Xenopus tropicalis: one gene and its partners. The protein of the gene in region 1 purifies or fractionates together with the protein of each later gene. This does not show direct contact. Links are inferred from orthologs where the notes say so. Each region holds a gene or a part of one and is shown in the gene's direction. Other genes may lie near its edges.

Region 1 (3,649 bases):
AGAAACCCCAGTGGCCTGGTTTTTGGCACAAGTAAACAGTTCTGACAGTTGCTATCATTCATTTAGCTTTCTGAAGTAAAAGACTTAGAAGATGACGCATGCCTTGCCTTTGCAACACTGGATTTAGTTGACGGAAAAACAGAGGATGCAATAATAGCATTTGATGCTGTTAAGAACGTTGTTGCCTATTGGAACCTTGCTTTGGTATGTGTTACTACTCTGCATCTTCTGTGTTTAGTTTGACACACTTCTGTTTTACATTAAAATTGCCTATATGTAATTTAATTTTATGAAAAAACTATCACAAGTAGCTGATGAACTGATGTGCTGGCTATAATGAAGCAGATGATATTATCAACACAGTATTGCTTTTAACCTGATGAAATAGAAATCTATTCTTGTAATTTTTTTTGTAGATATACCAGCGTAAGGCCGAAGAAATTGAAAATGATTGTTTGCCAGCAGAAGAACAGGAAGAGTTCCAGGAGTGCCTGCTTAAGTGCAAAGGCTATTTGAAAATGATTTGTGATGAATATAATGCTGATCCTTCCATTGCAACATTGGTAATAAGACAATTTGAATAAAAGGGCTATATGTTGATATTATTTAGATATAATATTATAGTTCTGTCGATAAAGTCTATACTTGCTAGTGTTTATCCATTAGTCCCCTAAATTACCCGGAGAGGCCCATTTATCAACATTCTGATTTTTGTCGTTTTAAGTTTTTTGAAACCACACAAAAAATTTGAGTTTTAGAGCAAGATGTCAACTTTATGGACATTGGTAAATATTAACAAGGCTTTGGCCTTTCTCCATCAAAGTGTTAGATTATCTGTGTGGCTAAAGACACAGAGCTGTTCATACATCCTGTTGGCTGGTCACAATTATAATGACTGAGGTGCTTACTGGTCCTTGTAATACCATAATCCAGCTCTAACTAACTCATTTCTTTGGTGACTTGGCCCAACGGCTAAAGTCTCTGAACAGCTAGTTAAGGTCCACCAATGAAGTAGGCAACTTGCTTAAAGATGACCTTACCAATTGGCATGCAGAACATAGTGTTTTCTGTATATTTGCTGATATTTCTTAACAATTCACACCAAGGTCTTGTTTGTCTTTAATGTGATCTAGAGAATATAGCGCTGAGCACACAACATGGCAGTGAGGCCTAAAGTAGTGTTGTCATGCATATAGAAGGTAAAAATAAGTTAGTTACATTTTCACTAAAATGCTTTCAATGCTGTCTTGTATATTCCAGATAGCTTCCTAAGAAGCTTCAGTAGTGGGTAAATACTGTAATACTTCAGTAGCAGGTAAATACTGTAGTTGTGTTTTAAATCTTTAAAATGGTGGCTGATTATTTAGAGTAGAAGCCAGTCAAGTATATTTATACTTAACATTGTTGTCATAGTACCGATGCCTTTACTGTGTGGAAATAAATATTCTTTGATATTGCTATAGATATTTGCAAGCAGAAATTCACTCTCAATTGTTAAACCGTAATATTTTGTTTTACTACAGTTGCCAGTTCCAGTTGAGACTGTGATTGAGATGCTGGAGTCAGTGAAGCAGAATCTTGGAGAAGCGATGGAAGATCGTAGCCTGGGCTTTGTGGAAAATCATTCAGCAATAAAACATTCCACACCATCACCCTCCAAGCTGTCCATATCGCCCAGCAAACCAACTCGGGTATTTTATTAAAAAAATGCAGCTGAATTTTGATTATCTACCTTTTCTTGTCAATGAATACAGTCTTATTTGCTTCATATAAGTGTATGTAGAAGCCAATGATGAAACAAATTGCTAGAGAAACTGTCCTGTTACTTAATTGCTCAGGATATTTCTTCTGGTGGCTTTGCTGTGGGTGTCAGGGAGAAGTGAGGTAGAGAGCATTGAATTAAGGGTAGTGGCTTTGCACATATGAGTCACATGTTTGCAAGGGATATGCTCATGTCATGGGCTGCAATGCCATTTCATTCATAGCAAGGCACAGAACGATTACACCAACTTTATACTTTGGGCTAACATACCCCTTTAAGAGAAGAGTGAATATATTGCAAAGCTTAATAAACCCAATAATTTATACAGCTAAATTGTATATTAATATGTAGGGTATTGCTGGAGATTTGCAATTAATATCCATAATTAGCTGGCAATTCTGATTAATAACCGAGAACCAGCAGCTGGTTTTGGGTTCCTTTTGTGCCCTTAGATGCCTACAGTTTGTTTAACATTTGTAAACTGTATGCAAAATTACCTCTAAAGTCAGTTTCTTAAAATTCTTTAGAAATAGGGTAAATTAAGGTGGTTTAATTGGTTACAATTTAACTCAAACTACTTATGTACCAGTATGTGATGTTCTTTTAAAGCTTTCATGGCAGCCCAAGGCAACTACAGCCCATTAGCAGTGGAAAATCTGTGCCTCCATAGATGCAAAACTATGCAAAAAAAAATTAGCTGGGAACAGAAAGTATACAATTAAATCCTGATTTTGTCAAACAAGAAGGTAGTGATAATAAAAACTGAACTATTTTATTTTTGTTTTTTTAGTTTTCTCCCAAAACGCCACCACGTTGGGCAGAAGATCAAAAATCTCTACTTGAAGTGCTCTGTAATAAAGTAGAAGCATTGAAGGTAAGGGGAGGTTAACATTTGTTTAATAAAAAGGTAACCAAAGCTTTTACTGTCTAGTGCCACTTAAGGGTGCCTACATGCAATCCTAACATGCTTTGTTCATGCTTGGTGGCCCTAAATTACATTCTACACTTATGTGGCTTTCCTCCAGTCCTGTTGCATAGAACTTATGGTGTTAAGCCTAATAACTTCTATACCTTCAGCTGTCACAGTTTCTGCTTTTTCTACAGCTACCATTCCTGCATTCCATACACATATTTATATGATGTACACTTTTACTTTTAATATTTTGTTATTTTGTCTTAAAGAAAGAAGTTCAAGAGCTGAAACACAACAATTCGAATGCAAACGCTTCCCCTCATAGATGGCCTAATGAAGGATTTGAGCCTGACAGTGTTGCTGATGGCTACCAAGGAACTCAAAGTTTCTATACAGTTCCCCTAACAGGTGAGGCATAACATATTATTCATTATTGTATGCTGCTTGGCAGTGAAAGGCTCCCTGACATTGTTTTGATTTTGAATTAAAGGAAAACTATACTTTCAGAAAGAATACTTAACCAACAGATAATTTATATTATAAGTGCCCTAATAAATAATCTTACCAAATTGCCATGTACATATCTGTACATGTGACCTTTTTACATCTTTTCCCCTTAAAGCTACCATTTTCTGATGTTTTGTGTGCTCTTTCAGTGATCACTTGACAGGAAATAATACAGCTTTATCTAACAACAGAAAGAAATAAGGTGGGGTTGAAATCTTTCACCTGCATGAATTTAAGTTTTGCAGGTGACAAAGGGTCTGGTTATTATCATTAAAGTTTATGATGGAACAGTTGCATGAATTTTGTTCGCCATAGCAGGCATATCCTTACCTTAAGTGCAGTTGAACATGATTGGTACAGGTATGGGAACCCTAATCCAGAATGCTCGGGACCTGGGGTTTACTGGATAAGCGACCTTTCTGTAATTAGGATCTCCTACCTTAAGTCTACTAAAAAAATTATTTAAA
Region 2 (4,338 bases), on another chromosome or scaffold:
CTCAAAGGTGACCAACCCTTTAACCCCTGGCTGACCAGACTAGAATACAACAACTCTATGAATGATATTAACCTCACACAAACCAATGTCTAAAGGGGTAGTTCTTTATGTCACCCTCACTAACTTGTACCCAGCAGCACCCAGGCACCTTGGGGTTTAGCAGCGCTAGAGTGCAAGCTCTTGAGCACAGATATCTGTTACACTTGTTGCAAGGGGCTTCAGGATTTGTGCAACTGCAGAAACTTTTTCCCGACCCCTAACCCCCAAATTTTCCTAATGAAGATATTCCAGCCCCCACCCCAACATAAACAGGTCACTGAGGCCCAGCAGGGGGCGCCTCCCAGAGCCATTACTGTATCAGACTGGAATAAGGATTGTGGCACCAAATCAGTCCGTACTTGGCTGCCCGAATCTTCTGGGCTCCATTTTCCCTGCTAGGCCGGGCTGCCAGATTTATTTTCCCAAACCAGCCAAAGTCAGTGCTAAAATCAGCCCAAAACCAGCCAAAAGCCACTTTGAAAGTAGCCCAAATATAGCCCAATATGTGCAATGAAAAAGAATTCTAGAAAATAAAAGTATATATGGGAAAAGCTGCCTTTATAAAGCGTATAATCACTGCCCAGTTACTGGCATGGCTGTTTCCCTGCTCTCTGGGCCCAGTTACTGGGATGGCTGTTTCCCTGCTCTCTGGGCCCAGTTACTGGGATGGCTGTTTCCCTGCTCTCTGGGCCCAGTTACTGGGATGGCTGTTTCCCTGCTCTCTGGGCCCAGTTACTGGGATGGCTGTTTCCCTGCTCTCTGGGCCCAGTTACTGGGATGGCTGTTTCCCTGCTCTCTGGGCCCAGTTACTGGGATGGCTGTTTCCCTGCTCTCTGGGCCCAGTTACTGGCATGGCTGTTTCCCTGCTCTCTGGGCCCAGTTACTGGGATGGCTGTTTCCCTGCTCTCTGGGCCCAGTTACTGGGATGGCTGTTTCCCTGCTCTCTGGGCCCAGTCCCTGCAGGTTATTGTAGTTTTGATGCCTCAGATTCAGCAGAGGAATAGAAAAGGGAGCTGCTGTCTATAATTGCATGCTGGGTATTGTAGTTTTATAGTCAGCCTAGCTGTAGGCCAATAGTAAAGATACAAACTACATTACCCAGCATGCACTGGGACAGACATGTCAGAGGGAAAACACTTTAGCTAGTTTCCAAACTACAAACCCGCCAAGGCGCCAAAAACGAACCCAAATTTGTACCTTGGCGGGTTTGTACTTTGGAAACCCTTCTGGGCTTTAAATTAGTAGTAATTTGGCGGAAAACCCGCCAACCCGGCAAACCCTGCTGCTAGGTCTCCCCTACCCCGACACTTTAATCACCCCACCCTTCCCCACTTCCCAGATGTTTTGCCCTTATCTTGGCCCCGCCTCCCTACTTTCCAGCGCTACTGAGCAAGCGCACTGCCCATCTCCAGCTTAGGGACCGTGTGCAAAGCGCTGTGCCCGTAAGAAGGCTGCGCCCAGTGCTTGTCAGATTGCTCCCTCCCTATCCGCCCCCGCTATTGCCAGACGTTCCCTGCGCACAGCCTGCAGTGGGGAATGCGGAGTCCGGGCTGGAGAGGGGGGATCGGTGCCAGGCTGAGCTGTGCCCGGGCACCATGGCACTGAACGCGGCGGAGGAGGAGGAGTACGAGCGGCTGGTGCTCGACTCCGGTCCCGAATGGCTACGAGCGGAGGTGCGGCGGCTGGTACGGGAGCTGGCGGAGACCTCTCGGGAGAAGATCCAGGCGGCCGAGTACGGGCTGGCGGTGCTGGAGGAGAAGCAGCAGCTGAAGCAGCAATACGAGGAGCTGGAGGGGGAGTGTGAGACCGCCCGGCAGGAACTGGAGCAGCTCAAGGAGGTACCGCCTGGGGCAATAACCGGCTTGGGGGGTATCCTGCTGGGGTAATAACCACTGGCAGGGGCACAATGTACCCCCCCCCAGGGAGAAGGGTATCCTGGGGCAGTTACTGGGAAAGGGAGAAGGGTATCCTGGGGCAGTTACTGGGAAAGAGAGAAGGGTATCCTGGGGCAGTTACTGGGAAAGGGAGAAGGGTATCCTGGGGCAGTTACTGGGAAAGGGAGAAGGGTATCCTGGGGCAGTTACTGGGAAAGGGAGAAGGGTATCCTGGGGCAGTTACTGGGAAAGAGAGAAGGGTATCCTGGGGCAGTTACTGGGAAAGGGAGAAGGGTATCCTGGGGCAGTTACTGGGAAAGGGAGAAGGGTATCCTGGGGCAGTTACTGGGAAAGGGAGAAGGGTATCCTGGGGCAGTTATTGGGAAAGGGAGAAGGGTATCCTGGGGCAGTTACTGGGAAAGGGAGAAGGGTATCCTGGGGCAGTTACTGGGAAAGGGAGAAGGGTATCCTGGGGCAGTTACTGGGAAAGGGAGAAGGGTATCCTGGGGCAGTTATTGGGAAAGGGAGAAGGGTATCCTGGGGCAGTTACTGGGAAAGGGAGAAGGGTATCCTGGGGCAGTTACTGGGAAAGGGAGAAGGGTATCCTGGGGCAGTTATTGGGAAAGGGAGAAGGGTATCCTGGGGCAGTTACTGGGAAAGGGAGAAGGGTATCCTGGGGCAGTTACTGGGAAAGGGAGAAGGGTATCCTGGGGCAGTTACTGGGAAAGGGAGAAGGGTATCCTGGGGCAGTTATTGGGAAAGGGAGAAGGGTATCCTGGGGCAGTTACTGGGAAAGGGAGAAGGGTATCCTGGGGCAGTTACTGGGAAAGGGAGAAGGGTATCCTGGGGCAGTTATTGGGAAAGGGAGAAGGGTATCCTGGGGCAGTTATTGGGAAAGGGAGAAGGGTATCCTGGGGCAGTTACTGGGAAAGGGAGAAGGGTATCCTGGGGCAGTTACTGGGAAAGGGAGAAGGGTATCCTGGGGCAGTTATTGGGAAAGGGAGAAGGGTATCCTGGGGCAGTTACTGGGAAAGGGAGAAGGGTATCCTGGGGCAGTTATTGGGAAAGGGAGAAGGGTATCCTGGGGCAGTTATTGGGAAAGGGAGAAGGGTATCCTGGGGCAGTTATTGGGAAAGGGAGAAGGGTATCCTGGGGCAGTTATTGGGAAAGGGAGAAGGGTATCCTGGGGCAGTTATTGGGAAAGGGAGAAGGGTATCCTGGGGCAGTTACTGGGAAAGGGAGAAGGGTATCCTGGGGCAGTTATTGGGAAAGGGAGAAGGGTATCCTGGGGCAGTTATTGGGAAAGGGAGAAGGGTATCCTGGGGCAGTTACTGGGAAAGGGAGAAGGGTATCCTGGGGCAGTTATTGGGAAAGGGAGAAGGGTATCCTGGGGCAGTTATTGGGAAAGGGAAATGCACCGCTGGGGCAGTTATTGGGAAAGGGAGATGGACCGCTGGGGCAGTTATTGGGAAAGGGAGATGGACCGCTGGGGCAGTTATTGGGAAAGGGAGATGGACCGCTGGGGCAGTTATTGGGAAAGGGAGATGGACCGCTGGGGCAGTTATTGGGAAAGGGAAATGCACCGCTGGGGCAGTTATTGGGAAAGGGAGATGGACCGCTGGGGCAGTTATTGGGAAAGGGAAATGCACCGCTGGGGCAGTTATTGGGAAAGGGAGATGGACCGCTGGGGCAGTTATTGGGAAAGGGAGATGGACCGCTGGGGCAGTTATTGGGAAAGGGAGATGGACCGCTGGGGCAGTTATTGGGAAAGGGAGATGGACCGCTGGGGCAGTTATTGGGAAAGGGAGATGGACCGCTGGGGCAGTTATTGGGAAAGGGAGATGGACCGCTGGGGCAGTTATTGGGAAAGGGAGATGGACCGCTGGGGCAGTTATTGGGAAAGGGAGATGGACCGCTGGGGCAGTTATTGGGAAAGGGAGATGGACCGCTGGGGCAGTTATTGGGAAAGGGAGATGCACCGCTGGGGCCGTTATTGGGAAAGGGAGATGCACCGCTGGGGGGGGGGGTAATTTGGATGCCCAGTGGCTTCAGGTGACAGGTCCCTGTCTGCCTCTCCAGTTACTGCTAAACGGGGTACATTGTGTCAGCTATTGCCAGTCAGGGGGGGCTGTGCCAGCTGTGGGGGCTAATTATGGCTAACTGGGGGTTCAGACTGTTGGGGGTACCAAATCCTGCCAAACGGTAGGTGCCAATATTGTGCCCAGGCTCTGCCAGTTACTCTGCAAGGATTGTTCTCAGATACTGCCCCTGCCTGTGGCCCAAACACTGCCCCCTGCCTGTGGCCCAAACACTGCCCCCTGGTATTGTGGGCATAACCCTCCTGTCAACTCAGCGGGCACGGAGCTTCTAAAGAATGGATTATCTCTGCCGCTTCTGGTACCAACAGGCCGGCCCATTTAACTGG
Region 3 (3,649 bases), on another chromosome or scaffold:
CTTGTGCAGAGTGAAGCCCCACCCCCACTTCCTGTTCAGGTCTCTCATAAAAAAAAACAAAAAAAACTGCTAATCCACAGACTGGCTTCTGCTGACTCCAGTCATGCGCAGAAGGGTCTCCAGGTCGACTACAGGTAGAGAGAACTGAACAGAGAGTGGGGGCAGGGCTTCACTCTGCACAAGGAAGTAAAGAAAAACAATCGCCTTCTAACTGAGGAACCAGGTCAGAGAGAATGCTGGGACAAAGGTAGGTAATTCTGGAGGCTGTTTAGAGTAATTTTACTGATAGAAAGGCCTTTCCACCGACACTTTTCCCCATGGGTCAGTGTGAGGTAAAATATCTTCAGCTATTTGTTTTCAGGCACAATCTTGAATTGGACATATGTTCTGTTAGTCTTGGATGTAGCCCAAATTATTCTCCCTTTTTCTCTCTTGAATATTTTTTTGTCTAATAAAAGAAAACTTAATTCTAAGCAACTTTGAAAATATACATTCATTGCATATTTGTAATGGTTTTAGAGTTATTTGTATATAATACATATTAGAAGTTGTGTTTGCCAGTCATTTTCTATTCTCTGCCCTGTTGGCTCTGGTGTTTGGAACAATGTAACTGCTAGCAGACTGACAGACCTGACTTGCTGGAGGAGCCTGGCACTTGAAACATTATTATAGAAATCAGCATTTGCTGATCTCCTGGTTGTTACTTTTAAAAACAATTACATTTCCAAAACTTTTAAAGTACTAATAATTTTTAATGTATGTTGGAAAGTTTCTTAGAATTATATTTTCTTTTATTAGACAAACATTTATTTTTGGAGTTGACATGTCCTTTAAAAAAAAAAAAACTATACCCCAGAATGAATATTGATGGTTTATACTACGTTAAGTGATCTATTAAAGAATCTCGCCAAACTGGAATATTATATCAGTAAATATTGCCCTTTTACATCCTTTCCCTTGATCCACCATTAAGTGACAGGCTGTTTGCTCCCTCAGATCACATGACCAGAAATAATGCAGCTCTAACTGTAACAGGAAGTAGTGTGGGAGCAAAAGGCAGAACACTGTCCATTCATTGGCTGATGGGGCCTAGCATGTATGTGTGCCTTGGCTTGTTTGTGTGCACTGTGAATCCTGTGATCCCAGGAGGCGGCCCTTAATTCTTAAAATGGCAATTTTCTATTTAGGATTACCCAATAGCACATACTACTAAAAAGTATATTTTTATGGAGCAGGGTTTTACATATAAGCTGGTTTATGCAATATATTTTTATAGAGGCCTACATTGTTTGGGGGGTAAAAGGTTTTCCTTTAAGGAAAATTCCCACAATTCAGGACACTACCAAGCTTGTCATCTGCTTGCTTAGGCAGTATTTGATTTTTATTTTTTGCATCTGGTAAAGATGCACAGTGTCCCACATTCTTTACCAGCTAAACAGCTGATCCTGATCACATGAACACATGCCAACTTTCTCCTAATATTTTTTCTGTTTTTCAGGTATTATGCCTGTTATGATTCTGAAGACAGGCAGGGTCTTCTGAATGTGTATCATGATGAGGCATGTTGCTCTCTGAGCATTCCTTCAAATCCAGGCCAGAACCCTTCTAGGTTTGTTGTTTTCTCTCTATTCTTTCCTTGAGCAATTTCTGCAGTTTGTAATAGCAGAGTTGCACAAGAAAATGCATGTTATTAAAGGTTAGTATTTAGTTTGAAATATAATTGTCTCTTTGAACAGGAGTAGTCTTGGAGAATATTTCAAGGACAGCAGAAATATAAGAAGACTCAGAGATCCAAGTAAGTTAAATCATTTGCTGTTTTCCTGTATTGTAGAGAAAACCTGATGATTGATCACCCAGAGATGTTGGTTCTAAACAGGTGCAGCTTGGAACCTGACTAAAGCTGGCCATACATGTAAAGATCCACTTGTTTGGCAAGGTTGACTAAAGTGCAGATCATTCCCCAATATGCCCACCTTGAGGGCCGTGGGTCACAACTATTGGATCAAACAACAGAATGCTGGCCATTGGGCAAGAATCGCATCAATCACCCGATGCAATTTGTGGCCAGAAATGTTGTCTAAATATCCATTTTCAATGGGTGGTACATTTTAAGTGCAATTGTTCCATTAAAATGGAAAGCTGCCCCAGGCAAGTAGCTGTGTCTGCCACCAGTAAAGAAATTATTGAGAGGTGATGGGTGAGAAGGTTATTGGTTTACCCCAGAAATGCATTGAAAAATACATGGAAAATACACATTGGGATTTATGTGTAAACACTGGACAAATTTGTCCCTGGGCAGCAATCAATCAGTGTTTAGCTCTTTTGCAGCTGACTGCAGGTAAAACAATAAAGCATTGTTTGCCATTGATTCTGCCCAGGTGTAGATTTGCTTATTATGTTCCCTTTGACAAAGGAGAAATAAAGGTAAACACTAAGGGGGAGATTTACCAAGATCCAAACGCTCGGAGCGTTTATGCGAACGCTTCGAGTGTATTCTCGACAATTTTGGAAAGGCTCTGCCGCTGTTTACAATTGTTTGGTATAAAAATTCAGTGACTTTCAGATCGCCAATACGATATTATCGTGACTAATACGATTTTTTCGTAAGCATTTTCGTGATATTTGCGACCTTCAGAAATTTTCGTTTCCAATCCGAATTTTTCCCATTCGGGATTCGAACTCCTGTTTTGATAAATCTGCCCCCTAAGTAAGCTTTATCAGAAAGGTCTATGTAAATACAGCTATAAGCACTCACGGAAACGCTGCACTGACTTCTCTGAAAAAGGATAATTTGGGTCTGTAATTCCTGTGCCAGAGACACGCAGCTTTCTGTTCTCTCCCCTCTCCTGCTCCCCCCTCCCTCAAGAATGCTAAGGACTCTCTCCCCCCCCTTAGGAATGTGGATCTGAGCCAATCAGCAGGAAGCTAACTCATAGTCTAACTGAGCATGTTCACTTAGTATTCGTGTCTGTGCAGGAGTGAGGCATTATGGGAACTTTCTTTACGCAGCTCAGTGTATTTTCTTCCTGTTTGGCTTCAGATCTTCTAACCAGTTGAAATATGGGGAGACTTAAGGGCACTATTGAGACAACTGAAGGTATGCCTGCAGCTTGAGATTAACTCTTTACTAGCCTTTCCTTCCCCTTTAAGCTTAAAGGTGTCCATAAACAGGTAGCTGATAAGATTATGGTTTGGGCCCTTCAGACAGAATTGGCAGCTTATTTTACCATGTATGGGGCCTATCTGACTGATATTTGACCAAAAATCAAGCAGATGTTTGACTGGTTTAATTTTTTCTGTCTTATCAAACGACCTCATCAGCTCATTGATATGGTTCTCGCTCGGGGTGGCTTGTATTCACGTAATTGCCAAACAATTACATTAGTGTATTTTTAGATTAAATTATAGTGCATTGTGTTGTGATATCTGGGATTGTCTGTCAACAATTCACAATCTTTAATCAGTGCTGTTAGGCTAAAGGTGGCCATACACGCACCGATATTATCGTACGAAACCTCGTTTCGTACGATAATCGGTGCGTGTATGGCATGTCGGCGAGTCGACCGATATCGCAGGAAGCTGCCGATATCGGACGACTCGCCGATCGGACAAGTTTGAAAATTTTGATCGGGCGCCATAGAAGGCGCCT

Evidence for each region.
Region 2: the proteins of ranbp2 (region 1) and bicd2 purify together in Homo sapiens (affinity purification with western blotting; 3 studies listed by BioGRID and IntAct, with this or other methods). This does not show direct contact. The link is inferred for Xenopus tropicalis from reciprocal best matches to the Homo sapiens genes RANBP2 and BICD2.
Region 3: the proteins of ranbp2 (region 1) and nxf1 purify together in Homo sapiens (co-immunoprecipitation; 5 studies listed by BioGRID and IntAct, with this or other methods). This does not show direct contact. The link is inferred for Xenopus tropicalis from reciprocal best matches to the Homo sapiens genes RANBP2 and NXF1.

What each region holds. Positions count from the first base shown.
Region 1 is NC_030678.2:109,294,987-109,298,635, reverse strand, and holds part of ranbp2 (ranBP2-like and GRIP domain-containing protein 4), read left to right. Parts: intron 1-66; coding exon 67-204; intron 205-416; coding exon 417-563; intron 564-1,523; coding exon 1,524-1,691; intron 1,692-2,552; coding exon 2,553-2,636; intron 2,637-2,944; coding exon 2,945-3,083; intron 3,084-3,649. UniProt on the Homo sapiens protein: E3 SUMO-protein ligase which facilitates SUMO1 and SUMO2 conjugation by UBE2I. Involved in transport factor (Ran-GTP, karyopherin)-mediated protein import via the F-G repeat-containing domain which acts as a docking site for substrates.
Region 2 is NC_030680.2:150,842,030-150,846,367, forward strand, and holds the start of bicd2 (protein bicaudal D homolog 2), read left to right. Parts: upstream 1-1,417; 5' UTR 1,418-1,634; coding exon 1,635-1,877; intron 1,878-4,338. UniProt on the Homo sapiens protein: Acts as an adapter protein linking the dynein motor complex to various cargos and converts dynein from a non-processive to a highly processive motor in the presence of dynactin.
Region 3 is NC_030680.2:36,504,763-36,508,411, reverse strand, and holds part of nxf1 (nuclear RNA export factor 1), read left to right. Parts: intron 1-1,498; coding exon 1,499-1,609; intron 1,610-1,736; coding exon 1,737-1,795; intron 1,796-3,649.